2 linked regions of the Caenorhabditis elegans genome follow. The protein of the gene in region 1 purifies or fractionates together with the protein of each later gene. This does not show direct contact. Each region holds a gene or a part of one and is shown on either strand. Other genes may lie near its edges.

The links.
Region 2: the proteins of hadb-1 (region 1) and Y80D3A.8 fractionate together in Caenorhabditis elegans (co-fractionation; one large-scale study listed by BioGRID). This does not show direct contact.

The regions. Positions count from the first base shown.
Region 1 is NC_003281.10:8,685,717-8,690,210, forward strand, and holds hadb-1 (putative 3-ketoacyl-CoA thiolase), read right to left. Parts: upstream 2,451-4,494; 5' UTR 2,448-2,450; coding exon 2,276-2,447; intron 2,227-2,275; coding exon 1,767-2,226; intron 1,710-1,766; coding exon 1,385-1,709; intron 1,318-1,384; coding exon 928-1,317; 3' UTR 643-927; downstream 1-642. Other genes in the region: anmt-1 (Nicotinamide N-methyltransferase), read left to right, coding at 120-404, 524-610; B0303.4 (transmembrane and ubiquitin-like domain-containing family 1 protein), read left to right, coding at 4,245-4,286, 4,398-4,494. UniProt on the Caenorhabditis elegans protein: Mitochondrial enzyme that catalyzes reactions of the mitochondrial beta-oxidation pathway.
Region 2 is NC_003283.11:18,938,544-18,946,643, reverse strand, and holds the start of Y80D3A.8 (Protein-tyrosine-phosphatase), read right to left. Parts: upstream 6,004-8,100; coding exon 5,976-6,003; intron 5,929-5,975; coding exon 5,848-5,928; intron 5,437-5,847; coding exon 3,006-5,436; intron 2,888-3,005; coding exon 2,387-2,887; intron 2,339-2,386; coding exon 2,215-2,338; intron 1,989-2,214; coding exon 1,753-1,988; intron 1,710-1,752; coding exon 1,592-1,709; intron 48-1,591; coding exon 1-47.

The sequences.
Region 1 (4,494 bases):
CGCACATCCTTTCCCACCTATCGAAAATTTGTCGTGTCGAGACCGGGTAGCTAATTTTATGCCAAAAAGCGCAAATTTTCGCGTCAAAGTTTTGCATGTTATCAAATGTTTAATTTCAGGTGAACGTCCATGAATCTCCGGTTGTTCAATCAATTGTCTGGAAAGAAAATGAGCAAGTTCAAGTTCCAGACAAATTTCAAGTTGTATCAACTGTCTTCTGTCTAGAGTATTCATGTGAAACTCTTGAAGCATATTTCCGGGCGGTACGAAGTGCGTGTTCCCTTATTGATGAAGGTGGTATTCTGATTCAAGGTGGTGTTCTCGATGCAACGACCTACAATTTTGGAGGAAAAACATTTCGATGTCATCGGCTGAAACAAGCACATATAATTGAAAGTCTCAAGGTAAATTGTATTTTTGAAAAAAGTGTTTTAAAATATTATTCTTTGAAAAAAAAGATCCACCAACAAGAGCAAAAAATTTCAAAATGTTCCAAATTATTCTCCCAACCATATGATTTCAGGCAAATGGTATGGCGACAACTGCCGAACAAGGATATAAATTCATTACACATGACGACATTTTCTTACTTGTATCGAAGAAACTTTAGTTAAATATTTTTTAATTTGTTGTGTTTTTTTAAAAATATTTTATAAACTTTTAACTATTCAGTAAAGTTAGTACCACTTCCTTTTTGGTGATGGCAATGATGGTGATATTTGACAGAATATCGAAAAGGAAAAAGAAAGTGTTCAGAAATGACCAGTAGAATTACGAGGAGACGAAAAGGCACGACAACCGCTACAATCTATACACATAAACATTTAAAAAGAGAAATACGGGAAAATGGCAGAAATGGGAAGAATAAATAGTTGGGACAATCACTAATTTATCATACAGAAAAGTGGGTTTAAAGTAACCTCGAGTTTACTTTCCATAAGCCTCAATGAGCATTCCAACTCCGTGACCTCCAGCAGCACAGGCTGCAATTACAGCGTACTGTCCCTTCTCTTCCTTCAGTCTGTGAGCTGAATGAGTTGCAAGTCTCACACCAGTGGCTCCGAATGGATGTCCGATTGACAAAGATCCTCCCCACAGGTTGAGCTTGTCCATTGGAACTCTTCCGAATTTACCAGATCGTTTCATCTGCTCTTTGCAGAAGTAATCACTGTCCATCGCGTTCAAATTGGCAAGGACTTGTCCGGCAAAAGCTTCGTGAATCTCAAATACATCAACATCCTTAAGAGTGAGTCCTGCCTTGTCCAGAAGCTTTGGAATGACGTAGGCTGGAGAGAGCAGGAGCTGATCTTTTGGATCCTGAAATATATTGGAAATTAAAAACGCTCGAAAGCTACTAAAAACAACAAAACTATTATAATCTTACCTGTGCAACATACAAATAGTCTCTCAAGTAGGCTTTTGGCTTGTATCCGTTGGCAAGAGCATACTCCTCAGTCATGATAAGAGCAGCAGAAGCACCATCGGTCAAGTAAGATGCGTTGGCAGCAGTCACAGTTCCGTGTGGCTTCACAAATGCTGGTTTCAGAGATGACAGCTTCTCAAGAGTGGATACACGAATTCCGTTGTCCTCTTTGATTGTCTTTGGCTTTTTTCCGTCTAAGAATACTGGAACAACATCAGTGAATTTTCCATTCTTAGCTGCTTCCGAAGCAAGAGTGTGGGAGCGGATTGCGAATTCGTCTTGTTCTCTGAAAATAGAAATAAGTAGACATTAATTAATTTCCCAGAAATTTAAGGAAAATTACCTTCTAGAAACATTGAACGCGGCAGCAAGTCTGTCTCCACTGTGTCCCATTGTCTCACCAGTTGAGAACTCAGCGACCGCTGGCAGTTCAGGAGAAAGCAAATTTTTGACAATTTGTCCTCCAATCTTCAACTTCGATGGAACATCTTTTGCTTTATTCATTCCCAACATAGCCTTTCTGGCGTTTCGATTGTAACGAATTGGCACATCAGACAACAATTCGACTCCTCCGGCGATGATTGCATTTGCATTTCCAGTGGCGAGCATTCCCATTCCAGTGGTCATTGCGACATTTGATGAGATGCATGCAAGAGTGACAGTGTGAGCTGGGATCTTATCTGGAACACCAGCGAGAAGAGCAGCTTCTCTAGCAATGTTACTGGTCTTGCATTCTTGAATAACTGTTCCACAAATAATGTGATCGAGTTGTTCATATGGCAGCTTTGTCTTCTCCACTAGTGCTGAAAAATGAAAAATTAATTTTCCTTATTTACAAATTTCTATACAAACCCTTGATAGCTTCTTTCTGTAAGTCAACAGCCATTAAATCCTTGAAAACAGTTCCAGAAACGACAAATGGAGTACGAACTGCATCGACAAGTACAATATTTGGCATATTTTTCTTGGCGACTGCCGAAGCGGCACGAGCAGTCCCGAACGAAGTGCTAACTGCGCGGAGCATCTTCTGAAAAGAAATCAGATTTAATTTTGGAGGTGGTTTATTTTTGAGAATAAATCTCCAAAGAACAAAAAATGCGTTCAAGAAAATAATTTAACGTACGAAAGAGAACAAAAAACAAATATGGAATCAAATTTGGTTCGCTACGTGTACTCTTATCATTTCATCATTGCCTACGGACAGAAGGGGACAAAGTATTTTCCCTCTCCTTTGAAAGAACACAGCAGAATAATTTTACACCCTTTCTTGATTTTTGAGAATATTAAACCAGACTTACTCTATTTGAAACGACAGCAGAACAAAAGCAACGGATCAAAAAATGAAATGAATTTAAATAATTTCTACATTGAAAAACCAAGAATTTAGAGAAACATTTAAAAAAAAGAAACGTGGCCGATCAGAAAAGAAAAAAATATATACTACAAAGTTCACAAAAAAAAATTCTTAAAAGCTGAAGAAAGAAAGTTCAAAATGTTAAAATCCAAAAAGAAATAATCAAACTAGAAAACAAATACACAATCGATAGATATAGTGTAGGTCACCAACACACAAGATAATAAGTGATGAGAGGAGGAGACGAGACGAACACAACAAGAAAACCTGGCTGTTGTGGCCTCCCATGCGCCGCCCGTCCGTCCGTCTGGACTTTGTACCTTGATAAATTCTCTATGTAGGCTACGGGTAGATAACTAATTTTACAGACACGAGGTGCAAATTGAACAGGAAAACGTGGTATGGGTTTGGAAAAAGGCAGGATGGGAAAAATTACGGGCAGTTTAATTTGAGCTGAGAGAAAGTTATTTGAAGGAGGACGAACGGTTCTGGGTTTAGCGCTTGTATAGGCTCAATATGTGCCAAAATAAACGAATTTCGTATTAAGACTTCTCAAAAATGTATCAAACATTTCTCGGTGGTTCAAAATAAATATAATATTAAACTCCTAAATATTTTACACATTTTCTCGTTTATCTCAAATTATTTCGTTGGTTAAGTAAATTTTAAGCGTAGAGGAATGCAAATTTTGTTAGTCTTTTGTTATTTTAGTATATTTATACAAAAAATCGAGGAAATATCAAATAAAATCAAGATATTCTGATGAAAAATGTTGAAAAAAAAGTTTTGATAAATAAAATAAACTCTCGCGCTTATCGGGTGTACTACGGTATTAAAGGCACATAAGCGTATGTCTGACGTTGGGTCTCGCAGCGTTTGCAATAACCAGCTGGAAGGGAGAAATGGAAATTAAATTTTTTTTAACGAAAAGATCTGTTCCATTGTTATTTTTCTAGTTTTTTCCCACTTTTTCTCAAAAGTTTTTCTCTAATTCGAATACTTTTCGTTTAAAAGTTTGCCAAATTCATTTTGAGGTACATAAATTAATAGCAAAATCACAAATATCACAACAAATACAATTAATTCATTTTTCCTTTCTTTTTTCACTTCACTCAACACCTTTTTCGATTCTTATCTTCTTTCGAATTCTTTTTCTAATCTACTCTCTCATTTCGCCTCTTTATAAATACTACTTTCTTACAGGCTAAATAGTTTTTTTTCACAAAAATAATTTCTGAAAAAACAAATTTTAAATTCTTTTTATAAAATTTAACAAAAAGGTTGTTTTCCTAAAAAAGCGTGCAATTGCCCGTCGATTAGTGCGCTTTCACGTATCGATTCTCTGCGCCAAGGAACATTTTAACCAACACGCTTCTCTTTATTTCTCTCAGTCTCTCAAGCATCATCTGATTTCATATTATTCTTCACTTTATTCTTCATTATTCCAGACAACACAACTAGACAAAAATGAATGCATTAATTGTTAAATCTGCACTCGAATATTTAGAGGTAAGTTGAACATTTATTGATTTTTTGAACCCTTTTCCCATTTTTTCATTGTTATGAAAAAGTGTCAAATTGAAATTGTTTAACTTCAAATCTAAAAAAAACTATTTTCAGCTAAGCACAGTCGTCGCAATATTAATCATCATAGCATGTGCACTTTTATCATATCAAATCTCTGCTCGAAGGCCTTTATATTATAACTTATTTGTTG
Region 2 (8,100 bases), on another chromosome or scaffold:
GCCATGGATCTTCCGATTCCGTTCGGGCATTGCACCACGATTGGCTTCTGAAAATCAATTTTATTGAATATCGGTGGATACCGAGTCATATCAATTTTTGAAACTGATTTCACCAAATTTCATTTACTATTGACTAGCAAATCGGAGATTTGCTAGGCTTCGCAGTTTGGCTCGGCGTAGAGTAACTCAAGAATAATTCGCTTTATTAATGTTTAGCCAAGTGTTGAGTTGAACCGGCCAAATTAATTTCCACTTTTCAAATCGCACTTAACGGTTCCCTACTGTTTCTACATGTATTTGGGCCTGCGGCCCTCATTGTGAATTATTGGGCTCAAAATAAGCTTAACAGTTGTCCAACGCTTCTATGAGTATTCGGGCCTGCGGCCCTGAACCTGAATTATTTAGCTAAGAATAGGCTCAACAGCTGTCCATCGCTTCTCAGTATTTTTGGGCCTACGGCCCTCAACATGAATTATTGGGCTCAGAATAGGCCTAAAAGTTGTCCAACGCTTCTGCGTCTATTTGGGCTTGCGAAACTCGAACTGAATTATTGGGCTAAGAATAGGCTTGACGAATCTCCAACACTTCTTTGTGTATTCGGGCCTGCGGCCCTCCGTATTATCTGACCTTTCCAAAAACAGACGTAGTTATAGAAACATACGTCTCATAGAAGGCCTCCAGCCTGCTCTACTGGGAGTAGGGATAGAAAAGGCCTAAAGTTTTTAAGAATAAGAGGAAGGCCTTCATCCCTGGTTTTTGGGTTTGAGTGAAAAACAATAGCATTGCAGGCCTCCAGCCTCCAGCCTGTTCTGCTGGAAGTGAGGTTTAAAGTGGGCAAAATGACCGAAAAGTGCGGTCCTCAATGCGATTAGAGAAACATTCAAAATCTCGAAAAATCTTTAGGATTAAATTCTCCTCACGTTATAAAAATAAAAAATGAAAATTATCGAATTCATCCCCAAAAATAGAGAAAGAGAGAGAGTGGTAGAAAAGTTTTTCACGTTTAATCAATCTTTTTGATTTTGCAAAAATTGAATGATGGCCTACATTTTGGAAAGTGGGCCAATTTTTTTCAAAATAGTTTCAAAAAATTGGAAATATGAAGCTCTCTCTTGCGCACAAATTGGAACCAAATGTCAGAAAAACTGAAGATTTGGGACTGAAAAACATAAAACTCTTCAGTACAAAGAAAATATTCAATTTTAGCAGTCTCCAGAAACCCGCACAAATCAGTGTGCTACCCTTCCCAAAACCAATCCCCTCAATAATGACCATGGTGGGGCAACTATTTTTGAGTCATTCGCACTTAGTGAATGCAAAAGCGCCAGCTATGAGCCAAGTTATTAAAGCTCAAAGTTTGTACATTTTTGTCGGACACTCACGTGTCGAAAAGTTGCCCTCATTTTTTATTTCTGTCAAGAATGCAATTTCGGGATTTAATATAGGAAGAGGCAGATTTTTTTCGAAATTATCGATTTTTTATGAATATTTTTTTTTGTTTTTGTAACCTTTCATTATTCCATAAGTTTCAAATTTAGTCCAATAAACTAAAAAATTCAAAATTATCGATTTTATTCAACAAAAAACCAACCTCGCTTTTCTTCAACATCTCCATCAGGTCAAACATTTCAGCATGACTCTTTGGAACTCCACGTGCAGTCCATCCTGCATATTGATAATGCATCACAGTTCTCGTCGCAAGTTTTCCACTAAAAATCGCATTTTCATTTTAGAAAAAAAGGAGAAACTCACGTCGAATCGACAACTTCCAGTGTTCTTTGATATATTTTCTTATTCAAAATACTTTTCCCATCTGTAATCTTGATATTGAACCGTCCGATTTTGAACGGCTCAGAAATGTGTGGTGGAATGTAGTAGTCACACTTGACAATCAAATTCTCCATGTTTTGACCAAGCATTACAATATGTTCAACGTCGTATTGCGTCAGCATCATCCAAAAATCATAACGTGTATTCTTCAGCGGTCCCTGAAACAATATATATTTTTACAAAAACCAATAATTACCGAAATTATGAAAAATCAAAATCGATGATTTAGAGTAATGGGCACCTTTTTAGGAGGTTCCGTTCGTTCTGTGAAATCAACAATTGCCGCTTTTCAGAAATTTGAAACTTGCATAGTGTTTTTCGTATGCCTACCCTACGTGCCAACATGCAAAAATCTTGGTAAGTACGTGCGCTAAGTGCTCATACCTGAGTAACAATGAAGCGGTGTGGATGACCAGGTGTCGGAACCCAGTTGGCATGAATTGGGACTCGCTGGCCATTGACAATCACCTTGACAGCGGTTGATGGCTTACATGGTAGAGTGGGGTATCTGGAAAAAAGGATATAAAGAGACTATAAATAAAAATATAAGGAAAACCTGTGCTTATTCTTGGGCAAGTATGCATACGACTCAGTGATATGATCTTTATCAATCGTTGTCACATTCACATTTTCGATCGTCGTATTGTAGAATTTGGCCGTTTTATGATTATCTTTGAAATCCATACTCTTGGTCCATTTTTCGATTCCTTTAATCTGCTTTTTCCTCTGTTCCTTCTCTTTCTCTTCATACAACCTCTTTTCTTCCTCATCATCCTTCTCTTTCTGCTTACGTCGGGCCTCGGATCTCTCCTCTTTCTCTCGAACTTTTGCATTCAGCTGTTCAATCTTCTCTTTATCTTCCGCTTCTCTCTTCCGCTGTTCCTCCACTTCTTCTATCCTTTTCCTTTCAGCAATAAGTTTCTCTTCCTCTCTCTTTCGTTCCTCTTCAGCTTCTTCCTCTTTACGCTTCTCCTCTCTTTTACGATACCAAATAAAAACTATTCCACCAATCACAAGAGCAACAAGAATTAAGACCACAGGAATGACAACGGAAAGTCTGAAATATAACATTATTAGTGTCGCAGTATATATAATTGTTTGTTAAAACACTTCTTAGAACATTTGAGTTTTGCTATGAAATTAATTTAACAACTCAAATCGGAAAATCACTTGACTCATCGCTAACAGTGCTCACAGTGCTTGATCCAACAACAGCAGCTGTTACACCAACAGTCGGTCCAGTACCAGTATTACCACTCGGACCACCACTACTTGTACCATTGCCAGTACCTCCTGTATTGACACCACCACTATTACTCTGAGGATTTGGAGGAGGAACACTGATTGGCTGTTGAGAAGCAAAGAACAATTGCAAAAAGTTATCAAACGACTGGAATGCTGATGGAACATTCTGAAATTGTGTTGAATGACTTGAGAACTGCAAATCCAACACGGCGATCTTGTCGAGAGTGGCTTTGGCGGCAAGTAGATCAGATTTAGTGTCTCTTTTCTTTCTTCTTTTTACAGAGGATGCAACAAGTGAACTAATCAATATCTCCAGTGCTTTCGACTTCTTTACTGCATCAATCTTAACATCAGGAATTGAAGCCAAGTTCTGCAAAGGTGTACTGTAGCTGGATAGTGTTTTGGCTTTTGATACATCAATCTTCGACTTGAAAACTTTTGACTTTGCAATTGCACCTTCCAATGAGATAATGTCATCATTGTGGCTCCCCCAGAGACTTTGCAGTTCAGATTTGTTACTAGACTTGTCAATTCCGACTTTTACAATTCCATCGACACTTTTCAGCTGATTAATTGAAGATTCTAGATCCAAAAGGCTAAAAACATTTCGAAGAGCACTTGCAGAAATACCAATTCCATCGGATTGATTCAATGACTTCAGAGACATCTCATTCAGCTGAAGTGTCACATTCTTAACACCTTTCTTCATTGCATCAGGAATTGATCCAACTGTTGGAAGAACAGTGGAAAACTGAGCTACTGATGTTGCAGTTTGTCGAACACTTTCCAATAGATTATCATCCAATACTCTCAACTTCTGAATTGTCTTAATAGCTTCAGAGATCACCAGAGATTCGTTTTTAACATTCTGAAGACAGCTGTTAACATTATTCTCGGCATTGATAACTTTTTGGAAGTCTTCGTCTTTCTTGAATTCATCTGTTACTTTTGGAAACACTGAATTTCGAAGACTATCCAATCGAACAGCATTAAACTGAGTCTCGATACCTTTCACACTTTCCTGAATCTTTATCAAACTTATATTGTTACTTCTTATGTTCTTCACAATTTCGATCACTTCCATCCTCGATTGTGTCTCATTATTGATATCAGTAAAATTCAAGGATTCTACAAATGCAGCAACGTCCTTCTCCAACTGATCCAAGTCAAGCGTTTGGGTGAAATTGTCAAAGGCAGTCAACCAATCACTAACAGTTTCCACGTTGTTCATGAATTCAACTCCTTTTTTACGATAGTCGTCTGAATGTCCGTTTTCGTTACAACCCTCATATTTTTTCACAACATCAATGTAAGAATTAGCATTAACTGGAATAAAGTACGGCTCATCCTTAAATTGTTGGAATTTTGTACGCTCTGGAAAAGTGACCTTCAACTTCTTGTTGACAGCTTGCAAAGTTTCAAAAGCAGAGAATATTGGTTTCAAGCTTTTCCGAATACTTTGTCCATCCACTTCAGTTGCATTTGTCATCTCAAAGAACCACTGATTTTTTACATCATCTGTGAGTTGTTCCAATCCAATTAATTCAAGTGAGAATCCAGAAGTGTACTTTCTTGAAGGAATTGAAACCAGACGATCGGAAAGCTTCGAGACAGTCATCATATCACTTCTAGATGCTTCGTTAACTGCACTCAATGCGGATACCAGTTCAATATTAGTTTTAATTGCATCTTCTACTTTTTTCGAGTACAATGCAATGTAATTCTGACGAAGAGCCGAGAGTTTGATCACTGTATCCAATGACTTGAATATATTGGGTCCATTGTGAAGGATATCAAATGATGTTCGATTGAGTGTCTTGATTTCTGTGAGAAGGACTTTCAATGATTGGAATGTCTCATTGAATACTTTCAATTTTGCCGACCCAGTGATTGGAAAAGATGTATCCTTTAAGCTTGATTTCAAGATACTTGTAATGTGTTCATTAAATCCATCAAACTTCTCTGCTGTACTTTCAAACAAAGAAGAATTGAAATCTCTTTGAAAGTTTCCAACTGCATTGAAGTATTCCACACTTCCAGTCAAATTAGTCACATCACCAATAAATTCGGACCTGAGACGATAGTCCTCCCACTCCAACGCTCGTTTTTCCATAGGACTGATCTCATTATTAGCAGCAGCACTCTGTCGGACCTCTTTCAACTTCTTGATCAACTCCAAGATCTTATCAGGTTTATAATTGATTAGATCGGAAACATTGGCAGATCCTAAATTAAGCATCTCACCGACAACTTCATTAATCGGAATTGATCCATTCATTAATCCAGCTTGCAGGGTAATTCCGTTAGCAATGTGAGCTATGATGGTGATGTGCTCGAGGTAGTCCGTTGGTTTTGTAGATTCTGCAAATATTAAAATAATTATCATTACACATGTAACTTAAAACGTTATTTATTCTCACGTGAAAAAATCGATAATCATTTTTGAAAAATCAATAATTTCCCTTCAAAAATCGATAATTTTTCTTGAAAAATCAATAATTTCCCTTCAAAAATCGATAATTTTTCTTGAAAAATCAATAATTTCCCTTCAAAAATCAATAATCATTTTTGAAAAATCAATAATTTCCCTTCAAAAATCGATAATTTTTCTTGAAAAATCAATAATTTCCCTTCAAAAATCGATAATTTTTCTAGAAAAAATTCATAGTCTTGTTTGGAGAAATCAATGGCGTCAAAGAAAGCATTCACCAATTGAGCTCAAAAAAACCCGCTGACAAATAGGTACTAGGCAGGCACTTAGGCAACACATACCTTTTACAGAATCAGTGGTGTCCGGTGGGTCAAGAGTGGTGCTGTTGAAGGCATGTAGCTTGCAGAACATGAGAAGAAGTACTGAAAATATTGATTTTATGTGGTTCTGAAATATTACTCAGACTTACCGATTGCGAAAGATTGAAAAGTGTTCATCTCGCTCCGCTTGCTTCGTCCAACAATTTTTGATATTTGCTGTGAAGTTATTGATTATCGATTGAAAACTGATTGATTTGTTGTTTTTGGTTTTGATGACAAATCAAAGGTCAACGTTGGAGGGTCACGTGAGGTCATTATTTATTTTTGTTTTCAACTTTTGAAAATGTCATATTTTTTTCCGTGATTTTTTTAAAAATAATTTATTTTTATTTTTAATAAATGTTCATTTTTAGAAGCTTCATAAGGAACACTTTTTGTTGGAAAAATCATGATGAGTACCCCTATGACAATATACCTACATCCTATATGCCTACCTCATGGCTACCTATTCATATACCTGCCTGTCTAGTGCCTATATTATGCCTAGCTATGTCTTCTGGTCCATTTGCCTCATGGTTATCAACCTACACGTGCATGGCTACATTACAGCCGCCTACGTTCTGTTTGTCTATCTAGTGCCTACTTATATGCCTACTTCTTGCCTGCCTACCTATCCAATGTCAACAAACGTGCCTATTTTATGCTTGCCTGCCTACCTATTCCCCTCACTACCTAGTGCAGCCTAGTACCCTTGTACAAGCCTGCCTACGTGCCTACTTTATCACATTTGAAAATCTCTGAAAATTTTTAAAAAACAATCGACTTTAAAAAAAATAGTTATCCACTAAATTTCCATCTATTTAACCTCCAAATAGCCTATATTTCACTTTTGCCCATTTTTTGCCGGTCTGTTGCAGAAAATATCGATTTTTTTCAAATTTGGTCAAATATTGACAATATGGGTGTCAAATTGACGGAAATTGGATGAAAAATTCAAATTTGTACAAAAATTTAGCGTAAACACGTTAGTTTTCAAATTTTCGAAATTTTGAAAAAATTATGACAAAAAAAAAAATGTTTCCAAAAATTTTCAAAATTTTATTCTTTTTATTCTATATTTTGTGTAATTTTTTTTTGAACTTTTCATACAATTTCGTTTTGTTAATGTTTCATTTTGGGCTGAATGTAGGCCGAATTTCAAGTCAATTCAGGATTTTTGACAAAAATAGGCAATAAGCAAAAATTCAATTTCGCAATAAAATTTAGTGTCATGTTTCAAAAAAAAATAAATTTTTAAAATTTTTTTTCCATAGATCCAAATTTTGTTTTTCATTATTCTTTTAAAATGAGTCATAAAATTCCGTTCAAAGACAATAGTTCATCAAATTGTGAAGTGTTGACCATTTTATGTTATTCCAAACATCTCCAGACACCACGCGGGGCGAGTGACGTCATCGGTGGTCAAATTAGTGATTGAACAGTACAATTTGTATTACATTAATCATGTGATCATGTTTTAATAGTATTAAGCTGTTTAGCGAATCAGTGATCATTTGGATCTAGTGTAAGCTAAAATATTACACTGTGAGTGGATTTTGTATTCCTTATATTCGGCCAAATTTGAAATTTTTCAAAAATTCCGGCAACAGATCGGCAAAAATTACAATATCCCCGAATATAGGCAATATGTAGGGTAAAATTATGAAGATCAAGTAGGAAATTAAACTTTTTAAATGAAAATCGTATTGTCCATTTAGGCCAAAATTGAAATTTTTTTTTGGAAATTCCGGCAAGAAATCGGCAACAGATAGGCAAAACGGACGGAAAATTAAAATGTTTTAAAAATACTGAAGTTTTAACACTTATTTTATAGAAAATTTCATTTTTTTTTCTCAAAGTTTTCATTAATTTTACACCCATATTGCCTATATTCTGCCAAATTTAAATTTTTTTTTCGAAAATTCCGGCAAGAAATCGGCAACGGAACGGCAAAAATGACAATATCCCCGAATGTAGGCAAAATTGACGGAAATTGTGTCTAAAATTTTAATTTTGTTCTGAAAAATTCACAAAAACCAACAATTTGAAGCATTTTTGAATTTTTAGAAAAATTACAAATCGATATAACCGGCAAAAGATGGGCAAAAATGAAATTTCACGGAATATAGACGATATGGGGGTCAAAATGACGGAAATCGTATGTAAAATTCTAATTTTAATATGAAGAATGCCCAAAAACAAAGTTTTTAATGCATTTTTGAGGTTTTCGAAAAA